Saccharomyces cerevisiae S288C: one gene and its partners. The protein of the gene in region 2 interacts with the protein of the main gene of each other region in a biochemical or structural test. Each region holds a gene or a part of one and is shown on either strand. Other genes may lie near its edges. The genes, in order: JAC1, TIM50, TIM17 and HSP60.

The links.
Region 1: the proteins of TIM50 (region 2) and JAC1 form a complex in vitro, tested with the Saccharomyces cerevisiae proteins (one study listed by BioGRID).
Region 3: the proteins of TIM50 (region 2) and TIM17 form a complex in vitro, tested with the Saccharomyces cerevisiae proteins (2 studies listed by BioGRID).
Region 4: the proteins of TIM50 (region 2) and HSP60 form a complex in vitro, tested with the Saccharomyces cerevisiae proteins (one study listed by BioGRID).

Annotation. Positions count from the first base shown.
Region 1 is NC_001139.9:458,610-461,398, forward strand, and holds JAC1 (J-type chaperone JAC1), read right to left. Parts: upstream 1,056-2,789; coding exon 501-1,055; downstream 1-500. Other genes in the region: casein kinase 2 regulatory subunit CKB1, read left to right, coding at 1-383; ATE1 (arginyltransferase), read left to right, coding at 1,245-2,756. UniProt on the Saccharomyces cerevisiae protein: Co-chaperone required for the assembly of iron-sulfur (Fe/S) clusters in mitochondria. Stimulates the ATPase activity of its specialized Hsp70 chaperone partner SSQ1, to mediate the transfer of iron-sulfur clusters from ISU1 to GRX5.
Region 2 is NC_001148.4:428,349-434,001, forward strand, and holds TIM50 (protein translocase subunit TIM50), read left to right. Parts: upstream 1-1,590; coding exon 1,591-3,021; downstream 3,022-5,653. Other genes in the region: ESCRT-I subunit protein VPS28, read left to right, coding at 1-307; putative peptidylprolyl isomerase CWC27, read right to left, coding at 363-1,268; YPL062W (uncharacterized protein), read left to right, coding at 3,547-3,951; aldehyde dehydrogenase (NADP(+)) ALD6, read left to right, coding at 4,240-5,653.
Region 3 is NC_001142.9:144,218-149,093, reverse strand, and holds TIM17 (protein transporter TIM17), read right to left. Parts: upstream 1,994-4,876; coding exon 1,517-1,993; downstream 1-1,516. Other genes in the region: serine/threonine protein kinase YAK1, read left to right, coding at 1-1,127; IRC9 (Irc9p), read left to right, coding at 883-1,275; ROQ1 (Roq1p), read right to left, coding at 2,421-2,735; SFH5 (Sfh5p), read right to left, coding at 3,050-3,934; IDS2 (Ids2p), read right to left, coding at 4,393-4,876. UniProt on the Saccharomyces cerevisiae protein: Essential component of the TIM23 complex, a complex that mediates the translocation of transit peptide-containing proteins across the mitochondrial inner membrane.
Region 4 is NC_001144.5:662,784-668,041, forward strand, and holds HSP60 (chaperone ATPase HSP60), read right to left. Parts: upstream 2,220-5,258; coding exon 501-2,219; downstream 1-500. Other genes in the region: glycogen (starch) synthase GSY2, read left to right, coding at 1-50; sphinganine kinase LCB5, read left to right, coding at 3,061-5,124. UniProt on the Saccharomyces cerevisiae protein: May participate in assembly and/or disassembly of proteins imported into the mitochondrion. HSP60 are ATPases and have affinity for unfolded proteins.

The DNA of each region.
Region 1 (2,789 bases), on a different chromosome or scaffold from region 2:
AATTTGGAACGTGCCCCCGTTACTATTGTAATGGCATGCAGTTGCTGCCTTGTGGGTTGAGCGATACAGTTGGGAAACACACCGTAAGGTTGTACTGTCCCAGTTGTCAGGACTTGTATCTTCCCCAATCATCTAGATTCCTGTGCTTAGAAGGTGCATTTTGGGGGACAAGCTTCCCTGGTGTGTTCTTGAAACATTTCAAAGAATTGGAAGAGTATGTGGAAAGGAAAAGTAAAGAGTCCTACGAGTTGAAAGTTTTTGGGTTCAGGATAAATGATGAGGCAGTATCTGGTCCTAGAATGAAGTGGTTGAGACAATATCCATCCACGGAGGAGGACTGGGAAGAATTTGCCAAATGCGAGTTCGAGACACCGGCGGTTTAACCCTTGATTTATTTTCCTCTTTGCCCTACCATATACATATGTACTTTACCTATTTACATTGTTTCAGTTTTTATATCACCACTATTATTATTATTACTATTACCACTTTGGAGTACTTTAGTGATTCATTTCCAATTGTTTTCCTGGAGCCCAGTCTTTGAATGCCTTGGCCAAGTTGTACCAGTACTTTAGCTCCACGGTCAACTTCACTGCGGCGGCGTAATCCTTGTCATTGTAGCATTGTCCCAACTGGGCTTCAATATCTTGAATTCTTTCCTTGTTTTGCTTTTCAAGCAGCTTCACACCAGCTTCGTCGTCCATCTGGGATAATTCATCATGGATGTCTAGAACTTTCAATAGTAACTGTGGATCACTGGTAGTTACTTCATTTGAGGTCTGTTCTTGCGTCAAATCGATATTGCGCAAGAGTTTTAGCATATATTGTGACCTTCTAAGGGGATCTTTGAGAGTATGGTAAGCTTGATTAAGAGTTGATGACTGTTCACTACCTTGTTGGGCCATGTCTGGATGGTGCTGTGCTTGTAATTGCCTATACTCCTTCCTTAATCTGGATTGATCGATAGTCCAAATGGGTAGCTTTTTGGGGAAGGTCTTTGGGAACAGCTCGTAAAATGTAGAAGTGAATCTTCGTTGAACCAAGTATTTCAACATTGTGCTTGTGGGGCTTCTTGATACCTGTTTCCATTATCAGCCTCAGCCTTTAATTTCGCATCATCTTTTTAGTTTCCTTTTCTTTTTCGTTTTTTTTTTACCTATTGTTAAGAATTACGCTGTGAGTTTCATTGCTATTGTTACAAAAGACAAGATAGTCTCAAGATACAACTGAGAAGAAGCACAATTATGTCCGATAGATTCGTTATTTGGGCTCCCTCGATGCACAATGAACCTGCCGCAAAGTGTGGGTATTGTCACGGTAATAAGGGGGGCAACATGGATCAGTTGTTCGCATTGGATTCGTGGGCTCATCGTTATATGAACAAAATGGACGTTGTAAAGATTGAAAACTGCACAATTGGCTCTTTCGTGGAACATATGGATGTAGCCACGTATGATCGCATGTGTAATATGGGATTTAGAAGGTCTGGTAAGTTTCTTTATAAAGTGGACCCGTTGAGGAATTGTTGTAGGTTATACACCATTCGAACTGCCCCTCAAGAATTGAATATGACAAAGGAATTGAAAAAATGCATCAGCCGCTTTGCTACTAGAATAACAAGTGAGGACTACTGCCCAGCCGCTGTTGCAAGCAGTGATTTTGTGGGCAAAATTGTTAATGCAGAGATGAATTCTAAAACATTCTATACCCGATTTGAGCCTGCACTTTATAGTGAAGAAAAGTATCACTTATTTGTCAAATATCAGGAAAAAGTGCATCAAGACTACAATAATTCGCCGAAGTCCTTTAAGCGATTCCTATGTGATACGCCCTTTGGCCCTGAAGCGGTGTTGGGGACACAAGAATCATGGGAGCAGTTAAACAATTGGCAGCGAATGAAGCCAGGCGAGAAACTGAAGCATATGGGTCCTGTGCACGAATGCTACTACTATGAGGGTAAATTAATTGCCATCACTGTGTCAGATATCTTGCCCAGTGGTATATCTTCGGTATATTTTATTTGGGATCCAGACTACAGTAAATGGTCCCTAGGGAAGCTCAGTGCTTTGCGCGATCTTGCCATCATTCAAAGGACAAATCTGCAATACTATTACCTGGGGTACTATATTGAGGACTGTCCGAAGATGAATTATAAAGCAAACTATGGTGCGGAAGTACTGGATGTGTGTCACAGTAAATATATCCCATTGAAACCCATTCAGGATATGATTTCTAGGGGCAAACTCTTTGTCATAGGTGAAGAAGAGACGAAAGTTACTAAGGAGCTCTACCTCGTTGACTCTGAAACCGGAAGAGGGGAGGGATTTCCCACTGATAATGTTGTCAAGTACAAGAATATTGCTGAGGAAATATACGGTGTGGGAGGGTGTGCGTTTAAATCTGCAAATGAATCTGCATTGGAATTGAAAGAACTTTACGGTATACCGTACGAAGAGGAAGATTTAGATACCATCTACCATTTGAAAGAACACAATGGCCATGCTCCAAATGGTATTCCTAATGTGGTGCCGGGATTACTCCCGCTATGGGAATTGCTGGACATTATGCAATCTGGCAAGATCACTGACCTGGAGGGAAGACTATTTCTCTTCGAAATCGAAACGGAGGGGATTCGACCATTAATTAACTTTTATAGCGAACCTCCGAATGTCAAGAAACGTATTTGTGACGTGATACGGTTATTTGGCTTCGAAACTTGTATGAAAGCCGTCATTTTATATAGTGAGCAAATGTGAGCCTTCAACACACTATTCTAATAACAATCCTAA
Region 2 (5,653 bases):
TTCTTCTAGCGACAAAAAGTTTAATGCTAAATACGTCGCTGAGGCCACTGGTAATTTCATCACTGTAATGGATGCTTTGAAACTAAACTATAATGCAAAAGATCAATTACATCCCTTATTGGCTGAACTGTTAATCAGCATAAATCGCGTCACCAGGGATGATTTTGAGAATAGATCAAAACTCATTGACTGGATTGTCAGAATAAATAAACTCTCAATTGGTGACACTTTAACTGAAACACAAATTAGAGAACTTCTGTTTGATCTAGAACTAGCCTATAAAAGTTTTTATGCTTTACTGGATTAAGAAATAAACAAATAGAAATTATGATAACATATATAAGTACACAAGCGTTTCTATTTCACTTTAGAATATTCTTGTTTTTTATTCGTTCTTGAAATTTTGACAACATTGCCAAAGTTTCCCGCTCTCTTTTATCCATTGGTTCTTCCTTGATGTTTTCTTGACTTTCCGTTTCTTTAGTGGTTGCCTCATCAACATTATCATGCAACTCCGTCTTTTCCCTAATTAGTGCCTCTTGTGGCTGATCTAAGGATGCGTCTAGTTTAATTCCTTCACTGCGACTATCATCTTTGATCCATGCTGGGAGAATCATTCTCTTTCTTGGCTTAAGCTTTTGAACATCACCATCATCATCCTCTTGCTCATCTTCATAAACCATCTTTACTTTTGCTGATTTCACAAGTTTCTTTGCCGGCTCTTGTTCTTTTTTTTCATTATCTTCCAGTCTTCTTTTTGATCCAAAGATGTCCTCAAAGAATGGTATGGTAATCTCAACATCCTTCAAAACTGCAGGATACATGAATCGTTTGACATCATTGTCACGGGAGGAAGCTTCAATTTCGCCGCCCAAGATCTCTCTAAAGATGTAAATAGATTTCCCAACAATTTTGCCAAATACATTACAATCGTTCAGTACGTGCTTAGAATCCGCCAGCACAGTTATAAACCATGTGTTCCTTCGTCTATCCCATCCCAAGAGTCCATCTCTATTGAAGCGTATACGAGGATTTTTTTCCTCAGCAACTGTACGGTACTCACCAGTACTATTTGCATTAAACATTAGCCACTGTGTTGGCTTTAACTCTTTAAATTCTCCATTGGTGAATGTGCCATCTGAGAGCATAGATAAGAACCTCTTACATGTCTCAGGGCATTCTTTAGCCCATAATTCAATGGCAATGTTCCCCTTTGTTGTATACAGTATACATTTAGCTGTTGTCTGAGGTTCTATATTACTGGACATAGCATTCTTACTTTGGTTTAAAACTCATCATACATGTTTCCTGTAATACGCTTTGAATAATAAATTATTCAATAAATTATTCTCAGGACATTTTGAACCTTTTTTTCTCTTCAGACGCTTTACAGCGGAAAAGGAAAAAAAAAAAATTGGAAGTTCTTTCAGTAAAGTGAGATATATTCAGCAAACGAACATAACGTCAGGATTAATCGGAACGGTAATTTCTAGCATCCACTCAATTTCGTGATTAGCTTTTGGCGCATAACTGATTTTTTGCTTTAGCACATCACAGCTAGAATAAACTTCCAAAAATCACCCGCTTGCAATGCTGTCCATTTTAAGAAATTCGGTGAGACTAAATTCAAGGGCTCTTAGGGTTGTGCCATCTGCCGCCAACACCTTAACATCGGTTCAAGCATCCAGAAGACTTTTAACAAGTTATTCAAGTTTTTTACAAAAAGAAACAAAAGACGACAAGCCTAAATCCATTCTTACAGATGATATGCTGTTCAAGGCCGGTGTTGACGTCGATGAGAAGGGCCAAGGCAAAAACGAGGAAACATCAGGAGAAGGAGGAGAGGACAAGAATGAACCTTCTTCCAAAAGTGAAAAATCTAGAAGAAAAAGACAAACTTCTACAGATATTAAAAGAGAAAAGTATGCTAACTGGTTTTACATTTTTTCGTTGTCTGCGTTGACAGGTACTGCAATCTACATGGCAAGGGATTGGGAGCCTCAAGAGTCTGAAGAATTGAAGAAAGACATCGATAATGGCTACACTTTATCACTTATGTATAAAAGATTCAAGGCCAGGTTCAACTCAATGTTCACCTACTTCCAAGAGCCACCTTTCCCTGATTTACTACCTCCACCACCACCACCACCGTACCAAAGGCCATTAACTCTTGTTATCACATTGGAAGATTTTTTGGTTCATTCTGAGTGGTCTCAAAAGCATGGTTGGAGAACGGCCAAAAGACCTGGTGCTGACTACTTCTTGGGTTACCTATCGCAGTATTACGAAATTGTTTTGTTTTCATCCAACTATATGATGTACTCTGACAAAATCGCTGAAAAATTAGATCCAATCCATGCATTCGTATCTTATAATTTGTTCAAGGAACACTGTGTTTACAAAGACGGTGTGCACATTAAGGATCTGTCAAAATTGAATAGAGATTTGAGTAAAGTAATCATTATTGACACTGACCCTAACAGTTACAAATTGCAACCTGAAAATGCTATTCCAATGGAGCCATGGAATGGTGAAGCTGATGACAAATTAGTAAGATTGATTCCATTTTTGGAGTACCTTGCCACTCAACAAACCAAGGATGTTAGACCAATCTTGAACAGCTTTGAAGACAAGAAGAACCTAGCAGAAGAATTTGATCATCGTGTGAAAAAATTGAAGGATAAATTTTACGGAGATCATAAATCTGGTGGCAACTGGGCAATGACGGCACTAGGTCTCGGAAATTCCCTGGGCGGCAGCACCAAGTTCCCGCTCGATTTGATTCATGAAGAAGGACAAAAGAACTATTTAATGTTCATGAAGATGATTGAGGAAGAAAAGGAAAAAATTAGAATACAGCAGGAGCAAATGGGCGGGCAAACATTTACGCTGAAAGACTATGTTGAAGGTAACTTGCCTTCGCCAGAAGAACAAATGAAAATACAATTGGAGAAGCAGAAGGAGGTAGACGCCTTATTTGAAGAGGAAAAGAAAAAGAAGAAGATTGCTGAATCCAAATAATTTTCATGTAAACCCTCTTCTCATGTATCTACGTATCTATGTGTGTATGTAAATGTACCTGTACACTCCCCACACCCTCATTTTGTTACTGTCATGTGAATAAAACTTATGTATATTGCTAACTTACTACCACTGCACCTCCTAACATCACCATACTACGTACAAACACGCCTATTTATTTTTTCTATGTTAAATTTTAACGATGTAGACACACCTAATGATCTGATGCGCTTTGCATATCTCATATTCCTTCACTAGCATAAAAATCCAAAAAAAAAGAATATTTAGGCCGAATGGAATTATTCGTAACGTCATACGAAAAAAGTTTCAATTCGTACAATGCCTGGCATGTTCATTCGAATATAAGGCCGCCGCCTTCCAGTCAGGGTAGCCAAAAGTATAATCCCGGGTGGAAACTAAACTAAAAACCGTACTCACAACTTTCCGCGGACGCTAACAGACAAATAGACACACTATCAGGTCAGGAACTGCCGTCACATACGACACTGCCCCTCACGTAAGGGCATGATAGAATTGGATTATGTAAAAGGTGAAGATACCATTGTAGAAGCAACCAGCACGTCGCCGTGGCTGATGAGGTCTCCTCTTGCCCGGGCCGCAGAAAAGAGGGGCAGTGGCCTGTTTTTCGACATAAATGAGGGGCATGGCCAGCACCGAGACGTCATTGTTGCATATGGCGTATCCAAGCCGAAACGGCGCTCGCCTCATCCCCACGGGAATAAGGCAGCCGACAAAAGAAAAACGACCGAAAAGGAACCAGAAAGAAAAAAGAGGGTGGGCGCGCCGCGGACGTGTAAAAAGATATGCATCCAGCTTCTATATCGCTTTAACTTTACCGTTTTGGGCATCGGGAACGTATGTAACATTGATCTCCTCTTGGGAACGGTGAGTGCAACGAATGCGATATAGCACCGACCATGTGGGCAAATTCGTAATAAATTCGGGGTGAGGGGGATTCAAGACAAGCAACCTTGTTAGTCAGCTCAAACAGCGATTTAACGGTTGAGTAACACATCAAAACACCGTTCGAGGTCAAGCCTGGCGTGTTTAACAAGTTCTTGATATCATATATAAATGTAATAAGAAGTTTGGTAATATTCAATTCGAAGTGTTCAGTCTTTTACTTCTCTTGTTTTATAGAAGAAAAAACATCAAGAAACATCTTTAACATACACAAACACATACTATCAGAATACAATGACTAAGCTACACTTTGACACTGCTGAACCAGTCAAGATCACACTTCCAAATGGTTTGACATACGAGCAACCAACCGGTCTATTCATTAACAACAAGTTTATGAAAGCTCAAGACGGTAAGACCTATCCCGTCGAAGATCCTTCCACTGAAAACACCGTTTGTGAGGTCTCTTCTGCCACCACTGAAGATGTTGAATATGCTATCGAATGTGCCGACCGTGCTTTCCACGACACTGAATGGGCTACCCAAGACCCAAGAGAAAGAGGCCGTCTACTAAGTAAGTTGGCTGACGAATTGGAAAGCCAAATTGACTTGGTTTCTTCCATTGAAGCTTTGGACAATGGTAAAACTTTGGCCTTAGCCCGTGGGGATGTTACCATTGCAATCAACTGTCTAAGAGATGCTGCTGCCTATGCCGACAAAGTCAACGGTAGAACAATCAACACCGGTGACGGCTACATGAACTTCACCACCTTAGAGCCAATCGGTGTCTGTGGTCAAATTATTCCATGGAACTTTCCAATAATGATGTTGGCTTGGAAGATCGCCCCAGCATTGGCCATGGGTAACGTCTGTATCTTGAAACCCGCTGCTGTCACACCTTTAAATGCCCTATACTTTGCTTCTTTATGTAAGAAGGTTGGTATTCCAGCTGGTGTCGTCAACATCGTTCCAGGTCCTGGTAGAACTGTTGGTGCTGCTTTGACCAACGACCCAAGAATCAGAAAGCTGGCTTTTACCGGTTCTACAGAAGTCGGTAAGAGTGTTGCTGTCGACTCTTCTGAATCTAACTTGAAGAAAATCACTTTGGAACTAGGTGGTAAGTCCGCCCATTTGGTCTTTGACGATGCTAACATTAAGAAGACTTTACCAAATCTAGTAAACGGTATTTTCAAGAACGCTGGTCAAATTTGTTCCTCTGGTTCTAGAATTTACGTTCAAGAAGGTATTTACGACGAACTATTGGCTGCTTTCAAGGCTTACTTGGAAACCGAAATCAAAGTTGGTAATCCATTTGACAAGGCTAACTTCCAAGGTGCTATCACTAACCGTCAACAATTCGACACAATTATGAACTACATCGATATCGGTAAGAAAGAAGGCGCCAAGATCTTAACTGGTGGCGAAAAAGTTGGTGACAAGGGTTACTTCATCAGACCAACCGTTTTCTACGATGTTAATGAAGACATGAGAATTGTTAAGGAAGAAATTTTTGGACCAGTTGTCACTGTCGCAAAGTTCAAGACTTTAGAAGAAGGTGTCGAAATGGCTAACAGCTCTGAATTCGGTCTAGGTTCTGGTATCGAAACAGAATCTTTGAGCACAGGTTTGAAGGTGGCCAAGATGTTGAAGGCCGGTACCGTCTGGATCAACACATACAACGATTTTGACTCCAGAGTTCCATTCGGTG
Region 3 (4,876 bases), on a different chromosome or scaffold from region 2:
TAAGGATGTATGACTCCTTTGTCCACAAGAACCACTTATGTTTAGTGTTTGAATTACTAAGCAATAATTTGTACGAATTATTAAAACAAAACAAATTTCATGGGCTCTCTATACAACTTATCAGAACATTCACCACTCAAATACTGGATTCGTTATGCGTTTTGAAGGAAAGCAAACTGATTCATTGCGATCTGAAGCCAGAGAATATCTTGCTCTGCGCACCTGATAAGCCGGAATTGAAAATTATTGATTTTGGCTCATCTTGCGAAGAGGCAAGAACCGTTTATACATACATCCAGTCCAGGTTTTATCGTGCTCCTGAAATTATACTGGGTATACCGTATTCAACCAGTATTGACATGTGGTCGTTAGGTTGTATTGTTGCTGAATTATTTTTGGGTATACCGATCTTCCCAGGCGCTTCTGAATATAACCAATTAACAAGAATAATAGACACGCTTGGATATCCTCCATCGTGGATGATAGATATGGGTAAAAACTCTGGAAAATTTATGAAGAAATTGGCACCAGAAGAAAGTTCTTCTTCTACACAAAAGCATCGTATGAAAACTATTGAAGAGTTTTGCAGAGAATACAATATAGTGGAAAAGCCCAGTAAACAATATTTTAAGTGGAGAAAGTTACCAGATATTATTAGAAACTACAGGTATCCTAAAAGCATACAGAACTCCCAAGAACTTATCGACCAAGAAATGCAGAATAGGGAGTGTTTGATCCACTTTTTAGGCGGTGTGCTAAATTTGAACCCGTTAGAAAGATGGACACCACAACAAGCTATGCTACACCCCTTCATAACAAAGCAGGAGTTTACAGGTGAGTGGTTTCCTCCAGGATCGTCTTTACCGGGTCCTTCAGAAAAACATGACGATGCAAAAGGCCAGCAAAGTGAATATGGAAGTGCGAACGACTCTAGTAACAATGCAGGCCACAACTATGTCTATAATCCTAGCTCTGCCACTGGTGGTGCTGATAGCGTCGACATTGGTGCTATCAGTAAAAGGAAGGAGAATACATCTGGCGACATCTCCAATAATTTTGCTGTTACTCATTCTGTTCAAGAAGGGCCAACAAGCGCGTTCAATAAACTTCACATTGTCGAAGAATAAATCGTTATTTTGTCTGACTTTTCTTAACTACCCATTTCATTTTATTACGGCTTGGTGCCATAATGATATACTAAATAAATATGAATTTTGCCTTTTCTTAATTTTCCTTATACGTATAGTCATTACAATTAATAAAGTAACATTATAAAGTTTCTGCACTAGCTTTTGGCTTGTTGATATTTTCTCTTCAGAGATGAAGTATGGTACTTTTTCAATATATAATATGTACATGGTTGAGAGAAATGGTTGGTAATCTTGAAATAAAAGGCTGAAATAAAGTAAAAACGTAAAGGAGGCTAGTGCGATACGTCATTTATGTAACAAAAAACATGCCGAATAAGGGTACTTCCAACAACGATGAAAAAATGGCTCATATAATGTCTACATGCCTAAGCTTGCAGAGGTTGAGAGGAAGGTGCTTCGGGCAAAGGAGGAGCCATAGGTTTGGCTTGCCAAGCAGCATATCTTTGAAACATTAGTCCCACACCTTCAATCACACCCAACAAACAAGCACACGTGATCGAACTGTTCCTTGTATGCCTCCAACCACCTCTTACAGCTAAAGCGCCACCAGTGAAAAACCCTGCAATGATAGCATTCCATGGGTCCTCTCTCTTTCTAACGGCCTTCACAGCGCAATCAAAAGTCGAAAATAAACCACCCCACACACCAAAATTACCACCCAGTACGGGAGCACGCGCTTTAATGGCGCTCATAGCTCCTGAACCACGCTCACCTAATGGCGAATTTCTAAAACCTTTAATCCCATGCCAAACAACACCACCAATGGCACCCATGGCAAAAGCACCACCGAAATCATTTAGTATGACTATAGGACATGGATCTCTCGAATGATCGGCTGACATAACGCTCCCGTGTACTCTATTTTTCTTAACGCTTTCTTCTGAACTTGACTCTTTCACAGCTTTTCCATCTTTTGATGAGAATAGTGCTTTTATCCTCTGGATTTGGCATAAAAATGGAAACTTTGGCGCAAGAATGCCGGGTTACCCACTTTGTTGAACAATAGCAGTAAAAAAGGCGTCCGATGAATGTTCGTTGTATACACCCGAAGATTTCTGTATTCAATGATATATATACATATCTATATGAATATACTATACACTTTATGCACAGAAATTAATGATTTGATAAAGTCCCGCTATCCTTCCGTGGCGCCACTGACAGTGGCATGTTATGAAATGCATATAATCGTTACAACCCCGAACCCGTGCGTGGGCTATTCAGTATAACCCGAATGGTATTGTTAGATATGCTTTATAATGCTGGAGTTCATGAACAACGGCGAGAGTGAACGTCTCCACCCAGACTGCTGCCGTGGCCGTATCGACTGCCGTTTTCATCGTCACCATGATTATTGTTGTTGTTATTATTACTGCTTGTGTTTTCCTGTATGCCTAAATTAGTCAGCTCTACAAAGTAGTATATCACGCCAGGCTGTGTAGGCTGGTTATTGATCCCGAAATCGCCCATGGGAGACTCCTCTACCAAGGAATCCACTCTAGTCTGGTCCCGCTGGCTCCTGAGTATACTACTGTTGCTTTTTTTGTGTGTCCTGTATATTGTTGAAGTTTCCCTCCTTAACATCTTCTTCTTGTTATCTTATCTCTTGTTTTTGCTGACTTTTTTCCCTTGTAAATACCTTTATCTGCGATCTTGTTCACCTTCGGTGCGTTGTCTTTTATATAGGCGGATCTGATCGATCTGTATCCCTATTATTGCCATTACCTTCTAGAAACATTTTCGCAGCCCCTTCGTTTCGTACGGTGTTTTCTGAGCCATATAAGTGAAGATACGTGAGAGATAATACAGTTAGATGGTGATTTACCTGAATATAAGGCAAAAATAAGAAATTATTATAGGGTTTATATAAGAGACTATTATTAGATCATGCCAACAAATCACTCAACGTCCTCGATGATTTGTTTTTGTAAAATGTAAAGGCCGTATTCTGTTGGATGGACATTTGTGACATTTTGCTTGGTCAGATTGTTCTTCTTATCTTTCCCGCCATACCCTTCATATGGGCAATCCTTCAAGTATTGACCCAACTTGCTGCCGTCGGTTAATACCACGAACTTCTTTCTGGTGGTTTCGTCAACGAACTTTTTGATTAAATCGTAAACCCAGCCGAAAACGGTGGGGACATTAACAAAATACTTTGCATATAACAGTTCTGGATAGTATTTTTGAAAGATTCCAATGACCGTCTTGCTACAGTTTTTAATGTCAGAATCCATTCGCCACACGGAGACGCCTTTATAATCGTGGACTTGGGTCATATAGTTGTTGTCGGAGCTGGTGAAATCTAATAAGCTCAAACCCTTTTCCATGAGCCCGATTCTGTAGCGTACAAACTTATCCACATTTTGAAACAATTCTTTTTTTTTGACCAGTTGGCCGTATAAGTTCCAAGTGACAGCCTTTTTATTTGCGTCGCCGTTTGCATCGAATGTCAAAATACCAACGTTTTGCAATTCTGTATTATGGACTTCCTTGTAGGCACAACTCAATGGGTTGAATTCCCTCCTCCAATTCAAAATATCGATCAGGTTCTGTACAATGGTGCTATATTCAAATTGATAGGCTTTGCAAAGTTTGTAGGTTAGACGATCGGCGATTTTTTCGTCATAGTATTTATCAACCTCCTCTTGTGTAAGACCTTCAGGATTCAACTTGTAACCATACAATTCATCGTATCCTGCACATTTTTCCTTGATAATACCAGGAATCGCTTTTTTAAGCTTATCGAAAACCTGCTTCTCACTGTCATTGTCGAATTTCATTTTAAGGATGTTAATTTAGTGAATTAATTACGATTGGGATTCTAAGTAGGAAAAAAAAAAGAGGTACAATTGCAATGTACAGCTCGTTTTTCTTGGTGCGATCACTAATTAGTAAAGCGATGGACATAGTTTTTTTTTTTCATTCCGCCCAATTCTAGCCACACCCGAGAATGTAGAAGTGCTAAAATAACCTTGAACTTTCAGATATAGTGATGATAAAGGAAACCAAAAAAAAAGGAATTAAAAAGAAGGATAATGACTATGTGGTAGTATACAAAAGGAAGTGATTACAAATACGGTGTACCGGCATGTTTCAGCAAAAAAAAATATAATTTTTTGTTATTATAACTGCATTTTAATGAAACACATTATAAGTATGATGGGATTAACTATGAAGAGGGTACCGGACCGCCTTTAATGAATATTGAAGAATTGCGGAAAAGCAGTACTATTCTTATTTAGTTTGCTTGGTTCAAAAAGTCTCGCCAAAGATCTAGCCACTTGTTCATAATAGATTCTCGATGTTGACCGGCAGCAATGTAGTTTTGTCTTTCCCAAGGTTTCAGGATTTTAAATTCGATTATCTTATAATTCAATCTATTCGCTGGCACGCTAGCTATGGGAACAGCACAGTATCCAACGCTATCTATATAACTCCATTTATCGCCAAACAATGCTTTCATAATCTGTAAATCGTTCATTTGATGAAACATCGACCTTTTACTTTCACCTTCAAAATCGTTCCCGTAAATAGTAAAGTATTCCTTAATGCACATTGCTACTGCCCTGTTCGGCTTCAGTATAATAATTTGAGGATCGTCATCATAATTTTCAGCGGAAGATTGGTCTTGGTTCACGCTAACGAGATCTTCATTTATATAATTTACCTTATTCGATAACAATACACAAGTTTCGTTATCAATCTCGTCAGATACTTCAGTG
Region 4 (5,258 bases), on a different chromosome or scaffold from region 2:
ATCCTGCAGCTGACGATGACGACGATGGCCCATATGCTGATGACAGTTAAATCCTATGAGGATATAAACAGTATTAAAAAAATCTTACCATAAAGACATACGACATTTCGAGGCGTTTTTGCTTTTCTTTTAACTTTCGTTGGCACAAACTGAAATATATGTGGAATGCCCTCTGAAAATATACTAGGAGTTTTGAGCGATCCAAACATTTTCTTTTCTTTTTTTCTCTTCCTTCTAGCGAAGTCCTCTTGCGTTAGCTGTAAACAAAATAAGTCAATTTCATTAATGAAAAGTGACATTATGGCGGTAGCTCTCTCTATCTTTGTTCAGTTATCAACATATAGTCATACTTAAAGATATAATAGCTCATAGTCATATATAGTTCTTTATACTTGAAAAAGTGATTCCTAAAAATCTCAACTTTTTTCACATTGTATTTACAAGATAATAAAATTATTACCATATTTAAACGAAAGATAAATTTTGAATTAAGGCGGTCGTTACATCATACCTGGCATTCCTGGCATACCACCTGGCATACCACCAGCGCCAGCAGCTGCTGGTGGTTCTGGGGCATCAACAATAGCAACTTCGGTAGTAGCTAATAGTGAGGCAACACCAGAAGCATCAACTAAACCGGATCTAACCACTTTAAATGGATCGATGATACCAGTGGCTAACATGTCGGTGTATTCTGACTTAGAGGCATCGTAACCCTTGGCAAAATCATCACCATATTCATCAATCAATTTGCCGATGATAACTGAACCTTCTTCACCAGCGTTTTCAATGATCTGCTTGGCTGGTCTTGTAATGGCCTTTCTTATGATATCGACACCCAATTTTTGATCGAAATTGTCGACAACAACTTCATCCAAAACTCTAGATGCCTTCACTAAGGCAGTACCACCACCTGGCAAGATACCTTCCTCAACTGCAGCTCTGGTAGCGTTCAAAGCATCATCGTAACGGTCCTTCTTTTCACCAACTTCAACTTCAGATGCACCACCGACCCTGATGACAGCAACACCCCCGGACAATTTGGCCAAACGCTCTTGCAGTTTCTCCTTCTCATATGAATTTGTGGTGGTAATGTCGATGGAGCCTTTGATTTGTTCAATTCTCTCTTGAATAGCTTCCTTTGGACCACTACCGTTCAGGATAACGGTGTCTTCCTTAGTAACGGTAATAGAGTCACAAGAACCCAAGTTTTCTATGGTACATTGTTCTGGTTTCAAATCCAACTCCTCAGTAAAAACAGTACCGCCCGTCAAGACTGCAATATCACCAATTGTATTCTTTCTATTATCACCGAAACCAGGCGCCTTCACAGCACAAACCTTAACTTGACCCCTCAACTTGTTCAAAATACAAGCCGCAAGAGCTTCACCGTCAACATCTTCAGCAATGATCAACAAAGGTCTTCTGCTTTGATTGGAAATTTCCAAAGCTGGCAAGATATCTTGAATGGAAGAAATTTTCTTTTCACTCAACAATAGCAATGGCTTTTCAAATTCCACCTTGCTCGACTTTGGATCAGTGATGAAGTATGGAGAAATAAAACCACGATCAAACCTCATACCTTCAGTAACCTCAAGTTCATCTTCCAATGTTCTACCTTCTCTGATAGTGATGACACCTTCTTTTCCAACCTTTTCCATAGCTGAAGCTAGTAACTTACCAACATGAGAGTCCCCATTGGCAGAAATGGTTGCTACTTGAGCAATTTCCTCAGATGTGGTAATTTCTTTCTTGTTGGCGCTCAAAAATTCAATCACTTTTTCAACTGCAACTTGAGAACCCCTTCTCAAATCCATAGGGTTACAACCAGCGGCGACATTTTTGACGGATTCTGTGAAGATGGCTCTACCTAAGACAGTAGCAGAAGTAGTACCGTCACCAGCAGCCTCATTGGTTTTGGAGGCAACTTCTTGTAGTAACTTGGCACCCATATTTTCAAACTTGTCCTTCAACACAATAGATTTGGCAACTGTAACACCATCCTTAGTAATCTTTGGAGGACCGAAAGGCTGTTCGATTAAAACGTTTCTACCCTTTGGACCCAAAGTAGCAGCAACCGCTTCAGCTAAAGTTTCGACACCCTTAAGAAGGGAGGCTCTTCCTTCTACACCGAATTTCAATTCTTTATGAGAGGAGTAAGCACGACGCAATAAAGGCCTTAAAGTAGCGCGACTACGAACAACGGATGATCTCAACATTTTGAAAACTTTTTTGCTTATGATGTTTTCTCGTGGGAATTTTCTTATATTATTCAAGGAAGTGCATGAAGACGCAACCACGACCTTACATAATGAATGTAAAACTTAGTCTCCTTCAATATATATACATGAATGTCCGTCTGGATTCTGCTCCGGGCAAAACGAAGCAAAATTAAAGTCACCCTCCCCATTTGGTTTTCTGGAAAATTCCACGAGGTCCGTATATGATGACATATACAGATGGGCGGCTATAAAGTAAGTTTCCAGAGGTAATACCAGGCAATAAACAGCTTCAATTGCTCGTAACACCATTGTATACCTACAAAAACAGTGGAATAGGGATGAGACATAACTGGCTGGAATTTCAACTGTACTTCTTTGCACAACTAGTCTTGGCGTTCTACTTGATCATTGCGCGAATGGATGCACTCGCAATAATTCCCAATAGTATAACAGGAGGAACATTTGGATGCATTAGGTATATTATTCATCTTCTTTATCATCAAAATTTTCTCTTCCTTTATGTTACTATGTTGCTTTCTTTTAATCTATGTTTTTTTCCCTTTCAGTTGCCACCGCTTTTCTGCAAGATTCATAGTTAGATTTGCAAATCAAGGTGTTTTCGGGCCTTGTTAAAGCCTTCGCAGGCGAAGAAGAAAGGGAACGTAAGCTGCGTGAGCCGAATCTATTTATACAAAAACAATCAAAAAAGTATAACTACAGCATAAACTGTTGTATATACGTGTTGCAAAATAGGAAAGAAAAGAAGAGTAAAAGGACTCTTGATATTATCTCGAAAAAACCACAAATAGTGTAAGATTTAAACAGTAAGCCAAAAGAGATGACTTTGAAACCTTCAAAGAGACGTAAGGGCAGGTCTCGCCATTCCAGGAAGAAGCAAATAACGTCAGCGATACTGACTGAGGAAGGAATAATGATCAAGGCAAAACCATCAAGTCCTTACACATACGCAAATAGAATGGCAGATAAACGAAGTCGCAGCAGCATTGACAACATCAGTAGAACTAGCTTTCAAAGCAACATCAGTAGAACTAGCTTTCAAAGCAACAGTGATAACAACAGTATATTTGAAACGGCTTCACTAATTAGCTGTGTTACCTGTTTAAGCGATACTGATACAATAGACAGATCGGAAACATCGACAACGGATACAAGTAAAGATGATCTTTCTGCTAATCCAAAACTTCATTATCCTTCGGTGAATGGTCAATTGCCAGCAAACACCGTTATCCCCTATGGACGAATTCTGGATGCCAGATACATTGAAAAGGAACCTCTGCATTATTATGATGCCAATTCATCACCCAGTTCACCTTTAAGCAGCTCAATGAGTAACATTAGTGAAAAGTGTGATCTTGATGAATTAGAGTCTTCCCAAAAAAAAGAAAGGAAGGGCAACTCGCTATCGCGAGGAAGTAACAGTAGTAGTAGCCTCCTGACTTCCAGATCTCCTTTTACGAAACTAGTAGAGGTTATATTTGCTAGGCCAAGACGGCATGACGTTGTACCCAAAAGGGTTTCATTGTATATTGACTATAAACCCCATTCATCTTCTCACTTAAAAGAAGAAGATGACTTGGTTGAGGAGATTTTAAAGAGAAGCTACAAAAACACTAGAAGGAACAAATCCATATTTGTGATCATTAATCCGTTTGGTGGTAAAGGTAAGGCGAAAAAACTGTTTATGACAAAGGCAAAGCCGTTACTATTAGCAAGTCGGTGTTCCATAGAAGTGGTTTATACAAAATACCCTGGTCATGCTATAGAGATCGCGCGGGAAATGGATATTGACAAATATGACACTATTGCTTGCGCTTCGGGAGATGGCATTCCTCATGAGGTGATCAATGGGTTATACCAAAGGCCTGATCATGTCAAAGCATTCAACAATATCGCCATTACAGAAATTCCATGCGGATCAGGTAACGCAATGAGCGTATCCTGCCACTGGACAAACAATCCTTCGTACTCAACTTTATGCTTAATTAAATCGATAGAGACTAGAATTGATTTGATGTGTTGTTCGCAGCCTTCTTATGCAAGAGAGCACCCAAAGTTATCATTTTTAAGTCAAACATATGGTCTCATTGCAGAAACTGACATAAACACTGAATTTATTAGATGGATGGGACCTGCAAGGTTTGAATTGGGTGTAGCCTTCAATATCATACAAAAAAAAAAATATCCTTGTGAGATATATGTAAAGTATGCTGCCAAATCAAAAAACGAGTTAAAAAATCATTACCTGGAACACAAAAATAAAGGGTCGTTAGAATTCCAGCATATTACTATGAACAAAGATAACGAGGATTGTGATAATTACAATTACGAAAATGAATACGAAACCGAAAACGAAGATGAAGATGAAGATGCGGATGCGGATGACGAAGACTCCCACTTGATATCTCGTGATCTGGCAGATTCTAGTGCTGATCAAATTAAAGAGGAAGATTTCAAAATAAAATATCCATTAGATGAAGGTATCCCTAGTGACTGGGAAAGATTGGATCCTAATATTTCGAACAACCTAGGTATCTTCTATACGGGTAAAATGCCATATGTGGCTGCTGACACTAAATTCTTTCCGGCAGCGCTTCCTTCAGATGGTACAATGGATATGGTTATCACCGATGCAAGAACCTCGTTGACGAGGATGGCACCAATCCTGCTGGGACTAGATAAGGGTTCCCATGTTTTACAACCGGAAGTCTTACACTCTAAAATTTTGGCATACAAGATAATACCAAAGCTAGGGAACGGCTTGTTCTCTGTCGATGGCGAGAAATTTCCTCTAGAGCCCCTTCAAGTCGAAATTATGCCACGCTTATGCAAGACGTTACTGAGAAATGGCCGTTATGTGGACACAGATTTCGATTCTATGTGACACTTTACTTAATCTTTTCCTTCGTACTGAACAATTAATCAAAAACTAGAATATGTCATTTCTATTTCTTCTATATTTTTTTTACGTTGTTGTTGTTTTTGTTGTTGTTTGATAACTTTATACACTCCATACTT